Caenorhabditis elegans: one gene and its partner. The protein of the gene in region 1 purifies or fractionates together with the protein of each later gene. This does not show direct contact. Each region holds a gene or a part of one and is shown on either strand. Other genes may lie near its edges.

Region 1 (7,909 bases):
ATTTCACCGATATTCTTCCGTTTGCATCGATTTCCCACTGTCCCCGCCCAAATTGAGCTGAGCTCCGCCCACACTTTCCCAGGATTACTGTATTGTTTCTCGCTCTGCGTCTCTCATTCTCGTTCCCTCTCTCTTTGTTTTATCTCGGAAAATAGGATCAAATCCTAAACAGTTAACCGGTCCGTTTTAGACACCCCCGGTGGTAATAATTTTGAAAAAAAGTGAAATCATGTTTTTTAATGTTTTGGTTTTAAAAAACCAAACATTTTTTGGAGAGAAAAATGTATAGAACTTCCAAACATACAAACACACGACGCATCGAGTCTAATAATTATTGATTTATTTTTATTATTTTTGATTTTTCAATAAACTTTTCATTTTTAAATCGTCTTGGTTCTGTATGCAAACTTGATCGTACAGCAATTTCCAGAAAAAAAGTTGGCGGCCGAGCTTTCTCTTCCGCGGCCATGTAGAAACCCATAGACAAGGTCTTAGCACGAATGAAACTTTTCCGTTACCGTACCATAGGGTATTTCCCAATTTCTCCTGTTTCAGAAAACATATTTTTTTTAAATTTAAACTTTCGTTGCTTCTGAGTTTTTAAAAAGTTTTATTTTCAGTTCTCCCAATAAAAATGTATTTATTTATTTAAAAAATTTAACAACGAAAAAAAAGCTATACCGCTCAACACCGAAAAGTTTGCGAATACAGTACTCCTTAAAGGCGCACACTCTTTTGTCCTCTGAAAAATTGATCGTGTCAAGACCCGGTACCGTATTTGTTGTCTAAAATTTTAAAATGTCCGTAATTTCCATCCATTTCTGTCTCATTTACCAAGAAAAAAACATCACTAAACCACATGAATAAGAGGGCTTTAACCTCCCGATGAGATGGATCGGGGGTCTCAACGCGAAACAAAGGTACATCCCAGTCAACAGCAGCCTCAGCAGCACCAAAAAAACGGTCATAAAATGGAGATTGCCGACCGACCGACCAATTCGAATCGGTTTTGCGACGAGGACGATGCCATTCGGAAAACGCAACGCAAACGAACACATTAAACCGAAAAAAAAACATTTGGAAAGGTCGGATTCATTCTGTGAGAATCCACGTAGCTTTTCAGGGGGACTTTGTGCTGAAATTCTTTTGAAGCTTGAAAATTTCCTCCATTTTGTGATTGATCATTCTGTTATCAATTTCTTTTCCGACTGCTGCCGCCTGATTGCATTCCTTGAAAATGTTGCGAAAATCTTGAAAAAGTGCAAACGTAGTCAAAAAAAAAGTCGCAACATTTTTCTTGTTCACAATCTTCAACCAAAGTCAGTACACATTGGGGGTTTTGTTTGATTGGCAGTTTGTCAACTTACTGATAAGACGAACGTCGGCGGCTCGCGACGCGAACGACATTAAAACGTCTAAAACTGCATGTGCTGAAATGTACGAAAAAGGGCGGAGATCGGTGGGATGGTGGTGCTGGGAGGTGCTCGTGGCACGAGATGAGCACAATGAGCACGTCTAGACTGAATGGGTGAAGGGGCACTATATTGGGAAGGTTCCGAAAACTAGCAGATTCCAAGTATAAGTTCATAAATCATCTCAACAAACTCAACAATTGAGATATAGAAACAAGCATTATTGGTGTGGTAACATAACAATTAAAAAAGAAACGAACAAGGAATACGATGAACAAAAACAAAAAAAAGACAGAAAAAATGTAATTGTTGATTAGAGACGTTCTGCTCCACGCGATGCCATGTTGCGAAGACTTCCGTACACTTTTGATGGGTTCGAACCTGAAATTTCGTTTTTAAATAGTTTTAAGTTTGATTTTTGATATTTTTAAATATCTAAATTTAGGGGCATATATCTTTCGATAGTTTTGCAATGTTTAATAAAAATGCACTGTAATATTTGGAAGAATATGTGTTTGTGAGACCACAACACCTCAAACTGTCCATCATCATTTCAGCAATAGAAACCGAGTGCAACGACCTTTCTCTTTCTCCTTCAGGAATGCAACCACGATGTGTTCGTGCGCAGAGAAAACCCCATCCCGAATGGCATTTCTTCGCTTTTTTTCTATATTCTTCATCTTCATGTGCGCACTGAATTTGTGTACAAACACACATTTTCATGGCGTCCCATCAAATGTGACACGGTGGTATTGGAAAGTGTATGTATACGTATGAATGTGTTGCCGTCCCCCTACTCTTCTGATATTTCTGCCGCCTATTGCGTGACTGAACCAGGTCCTGTCCAGACGGCACAAAAAGTGACAGACAGACAAAAGTAGAATAATGGCAAATTAATTTGGAAAAAGCTACCAAAAAAAACATATCTGCATTGACACCATGTAATTTGGATGTTTCTCATATACGCACAAAAGGCTTTTGTGTCAACGGCGAACGCGAAAAGTGCAAAAAAAACGGCGCAGACAATTAAATTGGCAGCATTTTTCGGAAACCAATGAATCAGGAATCAAATTTACAAAAAAAATTTTTTAATGTTTCAAAATCATGATTAACATTTAAAATCCAATCTTCTTGAAATTTCTCACCTAGAATCAAACTGCAAACAGCATTTCTGGCGAGTTTCAAGTTCTGATAGGCTCCAAGGATGTGAATTTTGGTGTTGGCGACAACTGAAAAATTTCAATTTTTGCAATTTCCTAGATCACTGACATTTTTCCTACCAATTCTCGTCTTGGTTGTGTTCTCAATGACCAGTTTGGTACGTCCGTCTTTTCCTGCAATACGTCCGATGGCACGGCTCACATGATCGCCCTTCAGCGAGTGTTTCACATCTGCGACCTGGAATTTTGTGATTTTTGGAATAAATAGTTTAACTGTAAGACCAGTGGTGTCTTATCAATAATTGTTTCGTAAAAACAACAAAATATTGTTTATATTATCAAATAAATATGTCTTGTCAAATACAGCTTTTGATCATTTGTTAAGGTCTGTTATTAGAATAACAAATATTCATTTTAATTTTTTTTTGGCCCAAAATGTCTAACTCCTCTACTTTCTTCTAGTTTTTGATAATTTCTTATCAGTTGATTACAGCGAACGTACATAAATGCTGCGAGCATTTCCCGTCCCAAAAACTACCGTAATCCGGCTTCATTCGCGTCTGCGACAAAAAAGAGGCGGAGTGGCGACTGAACGAGGAAGGGAGAAGCATAGATGAATAGAGGAAAAAGACACGCTTATTTGGCCGGGTGTTTGGCGTCAAAAAGGTTGAAATGGGGTTGCGAAGGATGAATTGGAAGCATGATAATAATGGGACATTTGTGTAAGAGTGGGACACACACATGGCTCCTTCTCTATACACCGTTTCAAGGTTAGTGAGCTTTTCGATGAGACATTCAGAAATGAAAAAAAGGGCAGAAGGTAGGATTGAAGGCGCCAAATCCTGATTTTCTGTTTTGGATGGAAGAAAATTTTGCGCTACAGTACCCGGTTTCGACATGTGCCTTTGAAGAGTACTGCAATTTCAATTTGCCCAATTTTGTAACGAATTTTTTAGAAAAATCTCATGTGTTTACATCGTTATTTTTGAATTTTTAAGAAATACATAATATTTTCTTGAAAACTCCACAATTTCGATGAAAAATCTACAGAAATGAGAGTTTGAAAATACACTACACTTTAAAGGAGCACAACTTTTCTCATTTAACAAAAAATTGTCGTGACGAGACCGGATACAGTAGTTTCAGCAAAAAAAAAAAGTGTTGTGATTTAAAAAAAAAAAGCAAAATCGCGTCTGGACTATACAAAAAATTGACACAAAATTCAGATTATTCTTTTCCCACTCTACAAAAATATCTTCTCCGTTCTGAAAATATTTTCCGATGTACAGCTTTTTTCTTAAAAATGCTTTTGCTCTTTCTTCTTTTTACGACCTGTCTTTCAGCGTCATGCCAATCTCAGCGCTCGAACCATTTTTGACATTTATTGAATAGATATCAGAACATTTTCAAAAACTCAAAGTTTCATTTTCCGTCACTCGTCGTCTAATAAATAAATTTTCAAAGTGTCAATCTGGTGGAATCACCCGATAGAAGAAGAAAAAATTTGCGTTTCTTTTCAATTTTTCAGAAATTTAGAAATAAGTTTACCTCAAAAGTCTCCAAAAACAGGTGATCAAGTCGAATAAGAGCAATAGCGTCATTGACTTCAAAACCGAGAATGAATGCCCGAACAAAGTCTGTGGCCTGAAATAAAAGTTAAAATTAAATGTAAAAATAAGAAAATAAAATAACCTTTTGCAAATCTGTAGTGTCTTCTCGATCCACTGGATTTCTAATCTCGACTTGTCGCTTCTTCAAGTTGAAACGCACCTGTAGTCCCAAATTTTTGACGATCGGTGTGAAAATGTTGACCCAGTTATCCTTGAGAGGTGTATAACGATGCTTTGGTACCGGAACTACACGAGACTCTCCTTTCACTCCTTTTGTACGTTTCGACGATTTTGGTCCAGTGGAGTCATCTGCAGTGTCTGCGGTGGCGTCTTCGTCGACTTGTGATACGTCTTCCATGACGACGTCAATCGCATTTCCAGACTTTCTCTTACGTTTTACCTGAAAATTATGGAATTTGGAATTGTTTTTATTTTTTTTAAAAATTCAGCTTTAATTTTTAAAAACTAACAAAAAAAATTATACGTTCTGTTCAGTGTTTGTTCTGAATCATACTCGTTCCAACGTCATCAAAAACACTCATAATGTTTCCATATTCTCGTTCTAGACGTTTAGGCGACCGCCGCAGCCACAAACGACAATAAACTTGCAGCAGAATGAGGAAAGACGTTAAAAGTAGAAGAATTTTTGGGCAAGAAAAAAACTGTCCTTTTGTAGTCGGCCAGGTCGTTTTCTTCGTGTGTTAAAGTACCGCCGTCGTATTATAAAATCAAAATAAAAACCATTATGACTGATTCTTTGATTTGAGATATTTTAATTTTAATCAAGAAACTCCACAGAAAATTTTCTTGACAACTTACCAATTTGAATTCATCCCCCTTTGGAGCAGTGTCCAAATTTTGCTCGAGAAGTGATGGAAGTGTGCTTGGGACATCCTCGTCATCGAGAAGTTCCGGCATTCCTGAAAAAAATACTATTTTATTTTTTATTAATTTTTCAATTTAAAAAATCCATTAAATCAAATTCTTACCTTCCTCCATTGGGAGCTCATCGTCGAAAGCGGAGCTGCTAGTGGCCATGTTTCCTCTGTCTGAAAATAAATGTTAAGGTTGAGATTTAACTGAAAAAAATGTTTAAAATATTAAAATCCGTGATAAACGAATTAAGTTAGGCTGAGCGAAAAGGAGAAAAGGAAACAAATTTTATAAAAATTATTGAGCTATAACAAAAAAAAAACAACAAATAACTTTAAAAATAAAAAAGATAACTATAGAGATCCGATGAGCTTGAAAATTCAACAAAAACCAACAACAATAACAAAAAAAGTTTTAACGTTTCAGACAGAGCTTCTCATTTGTCTCCAAACAAAATCGAATAGGCTAACATCTTGCTTTGCCCGATCCAATCGATCCATGTGCCGTTGGGTGTACGGTAGGAATGATTCAATATATCCATATGCACCGGGCATTGACACTAACTCCTCTGGATCCACGATATGAACAATTTCGTACAAAACTCGTTGTGCAACTGACGATGTTCGACTATTCGTGTTCCATTTCACTGTGAATTGCAGTAGAATCTCAATTTGACGGGTGTCAAGGCGGCGAATTGCGGAACCGAGTTCTTCTGGTGTCTCCTCAGCCATCAGAGCATTTATAACCTGGAAAGAAAGTTTAAAATGGATAATTCAAAACTCATTTAATAGAATTTAACTAATCACCTTAAAAGCACAAAACGGTTTGGCTAGAGTCAGTGCAAACACGAGAGCTTCCGAATATCTCTTCTGACTCAATAAATTTGTCAAAGTCTGATCTTGTTCAATAGCCTCTCTTCTCTTATTATCCTCGGCTTTTTGTTTCTCCTCTGTAACATCCTTCCAGACAACAATCCGCCCATCAGTTCCAGCAGTCACAAACTCTGACTCGTTATGATTTTTCGAAAGCGACCAAATTTTGTCAGTATGCGCATCAATGGAACATTCACAATCAGCAGTTTTGATTGTCCAAATCTTGATGATTCCAGCACTGTCTGCAGAGATCAACTGAGAATCGTTGCGAGCGAATATCACTCGGAATACAGCACAAGAATGTCCGGAAATGGTTTGAAGACAAGATTTTTCCGAGATGTTCCAGATTTTAATGGTCATATCTCCACTGCAAGATGCAAGTTTGTGAGAATTCTTTGCAAATTTAACATCTCCAACTCCACGACGATGTCCTGATAGAGTTCCAGCGATTCCCAATTGCATTTTGTGAGTATCCACTTGCCATAATTTTACTAGTTTATCCATTCCTCCAGTGGCAATAAGAGCATCCGATTCGGAAATATCAACACAATTCACATCTTTTCCATGTGCAACCATTGTTGAACTGCATGTCAGTTTTGGGCTGGAAAGTGAATTATTTTCGCAATAAAAATGTTTTCAAACTTACAGCTGTTCGACAAAATCTTTTTCTGCATCAATTTTGACTTCTTTTAGTTTTGTAGAAACTCCCAATCCCCACAATTTGATAGTACAATCCGTTGATACTGATGCCAGGAAAGGAGCTCGTCCGGTATTGGAAATCGCTAGAGCAGTTACTGTATTTGCATGTCCTGTAGCTGCCGCAACTGGGACCAGAGTGGAGCAAGAGTCATTTTCAGGAGATGTTACAAGTCTCCAAAAGATAATCGAATTATCTTTAGAACATGATGCCAGTAGAGATGTGTCCCAGGTAGGAGATACTACGGAAAGAACTGATTCTGTGTGACCACGAATTAATTGACAATCCAGGGTTTTAGTGTTGTAGAGTCGGATTTCAGAAGTATTGGAAGCGACAGCCATGTGAGATTCATCTTTTCCAAGAAGACAGCACGAATAGATCTGAAGATAGGGAATAATAATTAAGAAGGTTCTTAAATCCAATTATTACTATTCGTAGAAATATTACTTGGCAATTTGAGAGCATATTAAAAGTGGTAATATTCAAAGAAAAAATTATTAAAAAAATGATAAAATCAAATATTTTCGTTTTTCGGTGTTTTTTTACGAATTTTGTATAAAAGATTTACATTCGAAAAATTATACATTAAAGCAACTTGATATGACAAAAATGATATCAACAAATGGTTTTCAATTCCAATTTGCAATCATTGTTTTTCTTTCAAGGTCAACTATAAAACTCACTTCGTCATGGAATCCAACAATTTGTCTTGCAATTTTCAGATTTTCAAAATCCAAAATTATAAGATTTTGTTCGGCGGAAATTGCCAAAAAGCGATTAGAAACAACATCGTAGGCCAAGTGATCGAGATTCGAGCTGGCAATCCTTTTCTTTCTGACCAACTTCGCAGTTTCAATCACAAATTCCTTAACAACACCCTCTTCTCCAACAGTGAAAAGATTTCCGTTATGTCCGATTGCTCCGCCTTCAATTGATTCGTAGAGTGGAAGAACTCGGAGTGTTTCTTGAGTTTCTGTTTCATGAATACTCATCGTCTGATCTCGCGAAAGAGCCACAACAACTCGTGAATCCGGAACTTGAAGCAGTGCGGTAATATGAGAATTATGACTTTTCCATGTGTTTACAAGTTTTTTCGGAGCACCTCTCATTATATTATAGAGGTTCAATTGTCCTTCAATGTATCCAACGACAAGCTTTTCATGTTTTCCGAACAGAATTGCTGAAACTACCGAGGGTCCTTTTAATGTGTGTGTACATTGTTGCTCTGTCAGATTCCAGACTTTCACGATGTGATCGGCACTTCCAGTCGCCAGTAAATGGCCCT
Region 2 (5,893 bases), on another chromosome or scaffold:
GAGTATGTCCATCAAAAATGAATGTGTTATCAATGGGAACATATTGATTGGTAGCCAATTTGATAATCTCTTGAGCAGCTATTCCACCGACGTACGATGAAATGACATGTAACTCCGCAGCACCAAAACGACAAATTTCAGCGATAGCAGTGTCTGTCACTTTATTTGAGATTGATGTGAAGTCCTGTTCATCCTAAAATTTGTTAATAGTTTTAATTTCACTAACGAATGTAATAAACCTTCAAAGCTTCTCGAATCAAAACTTCAACTCTCTTCTTCAAATCTTGAGCATCAATTGAAACTGGAACTCCATTAGTTCCTGGGTAACGTCCTTTTTCTTTTTGGAACCTTCCAACTGCCCTCATCAGTAGCATCCACGTGGCTTCATCAACTTTCTGATTTCTAGTCTCTTCATCAATATTGCTTTCACGAATTTTCTCAACAATTGCTTTGGTTTCTTCGTTGTAGTCAAGCACATCGCCATACTGAACTCGAATCCGATCAGCGTTCTTACAGAAACGATAGCAAACGTCATCCGATATGACGTCACCAACACCTCGTTCCTTCTCTACTTCACGTGTCAAACGAAGCACTTCCTGAGCATCTGAAAGAGCTTTTTCGTGGAAAAGAGTTGCGAGGCGAGTGTATCGAGAAGAATCAGAAGTCATATCAGGAAGAGTTCCACGAAGAGGCAGAAGATTATTATTCTCGGTGACAAAACGACGAAGAGCTTCACAGATTAACCAGAATGGGCGTGTCGATGTTGAACATTGTGGAGAAGAGAGAATCGATTTTACAGAAGAACCAATCTGAAACTTACTAGAAATGAGAATCAATTTGGATAATTTATCAAAAACTTACCGTAGTTCTTTGAAAAGCTCGAATAACCGCCGCTTTCGCCTCATCAAAATTCTCAGAATCCTTGGTTCCGGATTCTTCACTCGAACGTCGGAAACTCATAAGAATCGCCTGAAGTTCTTTACGTTCCGCAGTTGTAGATGGGAACGCTTCAGGATCATTTCGTTGCTTTCTGAATACTTCGAGAGCTGAAATTAAGAAGGTAAATAACAGAATACAACCATAATTGCGAGAAAAACCTTTGAAGTGAAGAAGAATATACGGAGTATGGCGGAGTTGTTCTAGAGTCATTTCATCTAGATTTGTTTCATTGATCATTTCAATAAGCTTTGAAAATGGAGCATCCAATCTGAGAAATAAAAACTTTTTTGGAAGTTTTCATGTATATTTTACCGTAAATCAGGTCTCGGATTCTCTTCGTGTGAGTTAGCAATTGTGTGTTCTTTGATGCAGATTCGAATGGTACCAATTAGTCCAAAAGTTCTGAATTTTGGAATTTTAACTGCAAGAACTTCAAATTTTGAAAATATCGTACTTGATACAGATGAATGGAACTCTAATATTATACAAAACTTTCGCGAACGTCGTATCAATTTCTTCATTTTGATTTGCAGCAACAACCACAGAAAACGTTGTCAGCTTTTCCACATCTTCCATAGCTAACGCTGTTGGTGGCTGACTACTTGCACTACCAGAGACTGATGGATTCAGTTCGGTAAGCTTCTCCAATGTTGCCTCGGCACGAGAACGTCCAATATCATCTGCATGGAGGAAGAAATTCTGACCGATGTCAGCTTGTTCAACTTTGGCGTCATCAACGACATAGAATGATTGAACACCGGCGAGAACCAACGATTTCAATATTTCTGTTGCTAAAAATATTTAGATTGGATTTTTAATTCAATTTTTTCAAAAATACCTAGCGAATCGCTTCCAAGAACACATGCACTTGTTGAACCAATTGATGCTTGTCCTTCTTCTCCCCAAAGTCGAACTTGACGATCGTATCTAGTGGATGGGTCAAATGGTAGCATTTTCTAAAATTATACAAGTTGGAAATCTGAAAATTTCGTTTTGGTTTCTAAACAAAAATATACATTATGAAGAGTTCACAATCAATTAATATAAAAAATTATAAAGAATCTCAAAAAAGAAAAATATATATAGACAAATCTGATATTTATGGCAAGATTATTCAATAAAAATTTTACACGAAGTGTATGGCGAGTTTCACAAGAATGATAACTACATATTTATAAAAAAAATTATTTTTTCTCGTGAAGAGATTTACGATCCCATTTCAAATTGGTGAACGAATCGGGGCGAAGATATGTCAGCTCTTCGTTCTTGTTTCTCATGCAGGCAGTACGACCGAGAACAAATAGAAGATCGCTCATTCTGAAATTGATATTTCTTACTAACGATGAATCGATAACCATAGTACCTATTCAAGAACTTTAATGCCATTGGATCGACGTCTTCGTCTCTCATAAGTGGAACAATACTCCGTTCAGCTCGACGACAAATTGCGCGGGAATACTGTAATTGAGCAGACGTCATTCCACCGCCAGAAAGAATAAATTGTCGGATTGCAGGCAACGCGTCTCCGTATCGATCGATTTCTGCATTTATCCATTCAACCATTGCAATATCGAATGCAGTTTTCTCTGAAAGAATAGAATACGGCTCAATAGTGATTTTTAAAAATTATTTTTTAGAAAAATATAAAGCCAGAGACCTTCATATGAAAATCTCCGATCTTTCCTCTATATGTGATTTTTATTTTATTTTAATTCAATAGAATTAACTTTTTTTTTGATAAACCAAACTTGAAAAAATTTGTTTGGTTTCCGAAAAAATTTCAGTTTTTTGACTTTCTCTGAAAATACCAAGTCACTTCGACTACTTTCTTGATTCGAAAGAATTTTCCGGGATTTAAAATAAAGATACAAAATTGAAAATCGGTAACGGAAACTTTAGATTTTTCACTCTTTAGAAAAAAAACACACTTTGTTTTCTCTCCGAAGAATTTTTTGGTGGAGTAGCAAGATGAGCTCCAACATCCTGTAGACAACATTGAAGGCGTGTTAATGTCTCCACTACATCGCTCATTGAACCATCGTTTTGAGCAGATGCTCCACAGACACCAAGAAATGAAGACAATTCATCGGTTGCTCCGAGAGCATTGAAAGTGTCGTCATCTTTCCAGCGACGCTCATTGTTGTACAGAGAAGATTGCCCAGAATCACCAGTTCCACGGCCTGAAAATTTAATTTTAACGTAGTAAAATCGGTTGCTCTTTCAGTTGAAATAATCGATGGTTTTAGACGTTTACCTTGTTTAAATCCTCTTCCCAAATCAGAAGAGCTCATCGAAATGTAGAGTTGACTGTTACGGGACAATGAGGAAAAAATGAGAAGTTTGTTCGTCGATTGTGATGCCAACCGTACGCAACTCCGAATCATCTAAATGCAAACATAGGTTTATCAGTTGAAAGTGGCCACTACGTGGTGACAAGGAAATTGCTAATGGTAAATTTTTCTTAAATTTTCGAGCTTATTCTATAGATTATTTGGTATGAGAGATGATGCATAATATTACCCTGGTATTATTGAAACAAAAAACATGACAAAACGAATCATGAATTATTGAAAAGATCCGGTATCATATTTTTTGAACCGAAAATGGTCATGTTTCGAACCTAGGTAACTTTTAAAAAAATGTATATACATAGGTATTTTTTTAAATAAATAGTAAACTGGAAAACCTGTTTAATTTTCACTATGAGACCCGAAGAACTCGGGGGATGTCCAACTGGGGGGATTACCAACTCGGGGGATTGGCCCCGCCCACAGAACCGTGGCTTGCAATACGCCCATTTCTGCAACTGCCGCACGGTTTTAAAATCATTTTTTCTTGTTAATCCTCGCTCTATTGATAAAAATACAATTTTAAAATCGTGCGGCAGTTGCAGAAATGGGCGTATTGCAAGCCACGGTTCTGTGGGCGGGGCCAATCCCCCGAGTTGGTAATCCCCCCAGTTGGACATCCCCCGAGTTCTTCGGGTCTCTTCACTATCGCTGATAAATACCAGAAATATGAATCGAACTGAAATGAACAAAATTTTTTAAAATACGAAAACCATGACTTTTAAAATTATTTCATTTAAAGAACATAATAAAACACTTTTTAAAACATAAAACTATTCAGACTAGCTGAAATTAACTTTAAACACGAATGAATAAAGACTTGAATGGGAGGTTGTTTTGGAAAGACCAATTGTTCAGAGTTCAAGGGAAAATGAATGATTTCAGAGATGTTCAAGTATAGAGAGATAAACAAGAGACTGTAGAGGAAATCCTCCAAGAAAACAATTCGTAAACCTATAGAGAAACAAGAGATTTGATAAAATGTAGAAGTATCTAGTTGAAAAGGGGAGCTTGTATCGTATAACATACACTCAAACAATTGTTCAACAATAACGAATTCCACTAATAATACAAGGATTTCTCAGCTCACCATAAGGAGAATGAATAACAATGATACAGTTTTCAATATTTAAAAAAAAAGTAGGAACCGGCCTATTCTTATCAGATAGCAATTTCCAACTTCGAACCAGCGAATTGGGAATTGGATAGGAAAATTTAAATAAATAAAAAATATTAAAAAACTAGAAGAGATCGAATGGAATATAAATTTTAAAAACTAGACGAATCATATCAATTAAGATATCCACGACACGTCTTCGCACCACACAGACAATCTATTTTGTCGTCTTCAATTGGGAACTTGTAGTCATACGTGATTTCTTCACCCTTCTTGATAATTGTTCGGCTGTAGATGACTATCCGCTTCTCGCCTTCGATTGTAAGAACCTAAAAATTTTAAATTATTTTTTTAAAATCAGATTATCAAATTAACTACGTACCTTCGCGTAGCAATTAGGTTGGCACGAGTGATTAATAAATCGAGCAAAATTTCCACGCTTTGTTGCATCGATCACATGATGCAGATCAATTCGGAACAGATATGAACTTCCGATTCCACGACGTTCATAAGCCTTTTCTCGTTCTTCGGCCACCAGAGATCGGATCTGAAAAAAAATCAATACTTCGGAATTTAATTTCACAAAAAAAACTGACCGTCTGTCCTATATACTCCACAATCATCTCATCTGGTGCAATCGACTCCATCGCGTAGAGACCCCATCCGTGAATACGAGAACGTGCAAACTTGATCATCTTTTTGCGGAACTGTAAATTTATGTTTTATGGCAAACATCTTTTTTTTGGAAAACTACTTTGAGCTGATTTATCTTGAAGAAATCATTGTTAGCATCACCAAGTGACGTAAGCAATCGACGTTGGAGCAATCTCATATCTTTACTGGCCAGATGCTGATGCCGAATCGCGGTTTCATCTCTTTCACTGAAGATTGCAGTCGGATGCGATTCATTATCAGGACGTCTCACAAGACTCCTTTTCTGCTTCATTGTCATCTTCTCGTATGGTCGAGCACGAGAGCATCCAGCAGCTACCGGAATTACTCCATCGAGTTCTTCATCCTCGTAGAAAGCATCTGGCAGTCCTTTTTTCGAACGAATCGGGTTGAGCTGAAAATTATGTTGATGAATAGAATAGTAGTAAAAGTATAACTCACTCTTAACAGAGGATCTTCTGATCTCAACATTTCTTTGAAGGTTAACATTTTCTTCCAGGGCAATTCATCAGCACTTTTAACTTCACTTTGCATTTCATTAAGTGCTGCCCTCAAATACCATTGATCTTCCAAATCGGGCAGATCTTCGCAGTCTCCGATGATTTTCTTCTTTTCCTCTTCAGATCGTGGTTTGAATGTTTTCTTAAAGCGTGGCGGAGGAGCTGGGCGCTGAAAGATCGCACATTATATTATTTGACAAAGCAATTAATTAAATAAACAGAAAATACTTACCTTGGTTGGTGGTGGTTCATAATACTCGTAGGGATCCTTTTCAAAAACTTGTTTTCTCGGTTTCTGCTTCTTCTGGACTGTTTTG

What was found. Proteins that work in one complex are often made in the same cells at the same time.
Region 2: the proteins of pno-1 (region 1) and mmab-1 fractionate together in Caenorhabditis elegans (co-fractionation; one large-scale study listed by BioGRID). This does not show direct contact.

Annotation. Positions count from the first base shown.
Region 1 is NC_003280.10:9,737,654-9,745,562, forward strand, and holds pno-1 (RNA-binding protein pno-1), read right to left. Parts: upstream 5,232-7,909; 5' UTR 5,221-5,231; coding exon 5,172-5,220; intron 5,103-5,171; coding exon 5,002-5,102; intron 4,583-5,001; coding exon 4,265-4,582; intron 4,217-4,264; coding exon 4,121-4,216; intron 2,811-4,120; coding exon 2,693-2,810; intron 2,642-2,692; coding exon 2,558-2,641; intron 1,794-2,557; coding exon 1,726-1,793; 3' UTR 1,573-1,725; downstream 1-1,572. Other genes in the region: Y53C12B.1 (U3 small nucleolar RNA-associated protein 13 C-terminal domain-containing protein), read right to left, coding at 5,478-5,801, 5,862-6,528, 6,574-7,004, 7,308-7,909. UniProt on the Caenorhabditis elegans protein: Part of the small subunit (SSU) processome, first precursor of the small eukaryotic ribosomal subunit.
Region 2 is NC_003281.10:4,918,425-4,924,317, forward strand, and holds mmab-1 (Corrinoid adenosyltransferase MMAB), read right to left. Parts: upstream 3,324-5,893; 5' UTR 3,231-3,323; coding exon 3,194-3,230; intron 3,120-3,193; coding exon 2,868-3,119; intron 2,526-2,867; coding exon 2,303-2,525; intron 2,257-2,302; coding exon 2,124-2,256; 3' UTR 2,018-2,123; downstream 1-2,017. Other genes in the region: ula-1 (NEDD8-activating enzyme E1 regulatory subunit), read right to left, coding at 1-193, 240-815, 862-1,046, 1,098-1,207, 1,252-1,341, 1,394-1,730, 1,778-1,892; Histone-lysine N-methyltransferase set-2, read right to left, coding at 4,578-4,733, 4,787-4,951, 5,001-5,111, 5,159-5,470, 5,518-5,745, 5,809-5,893.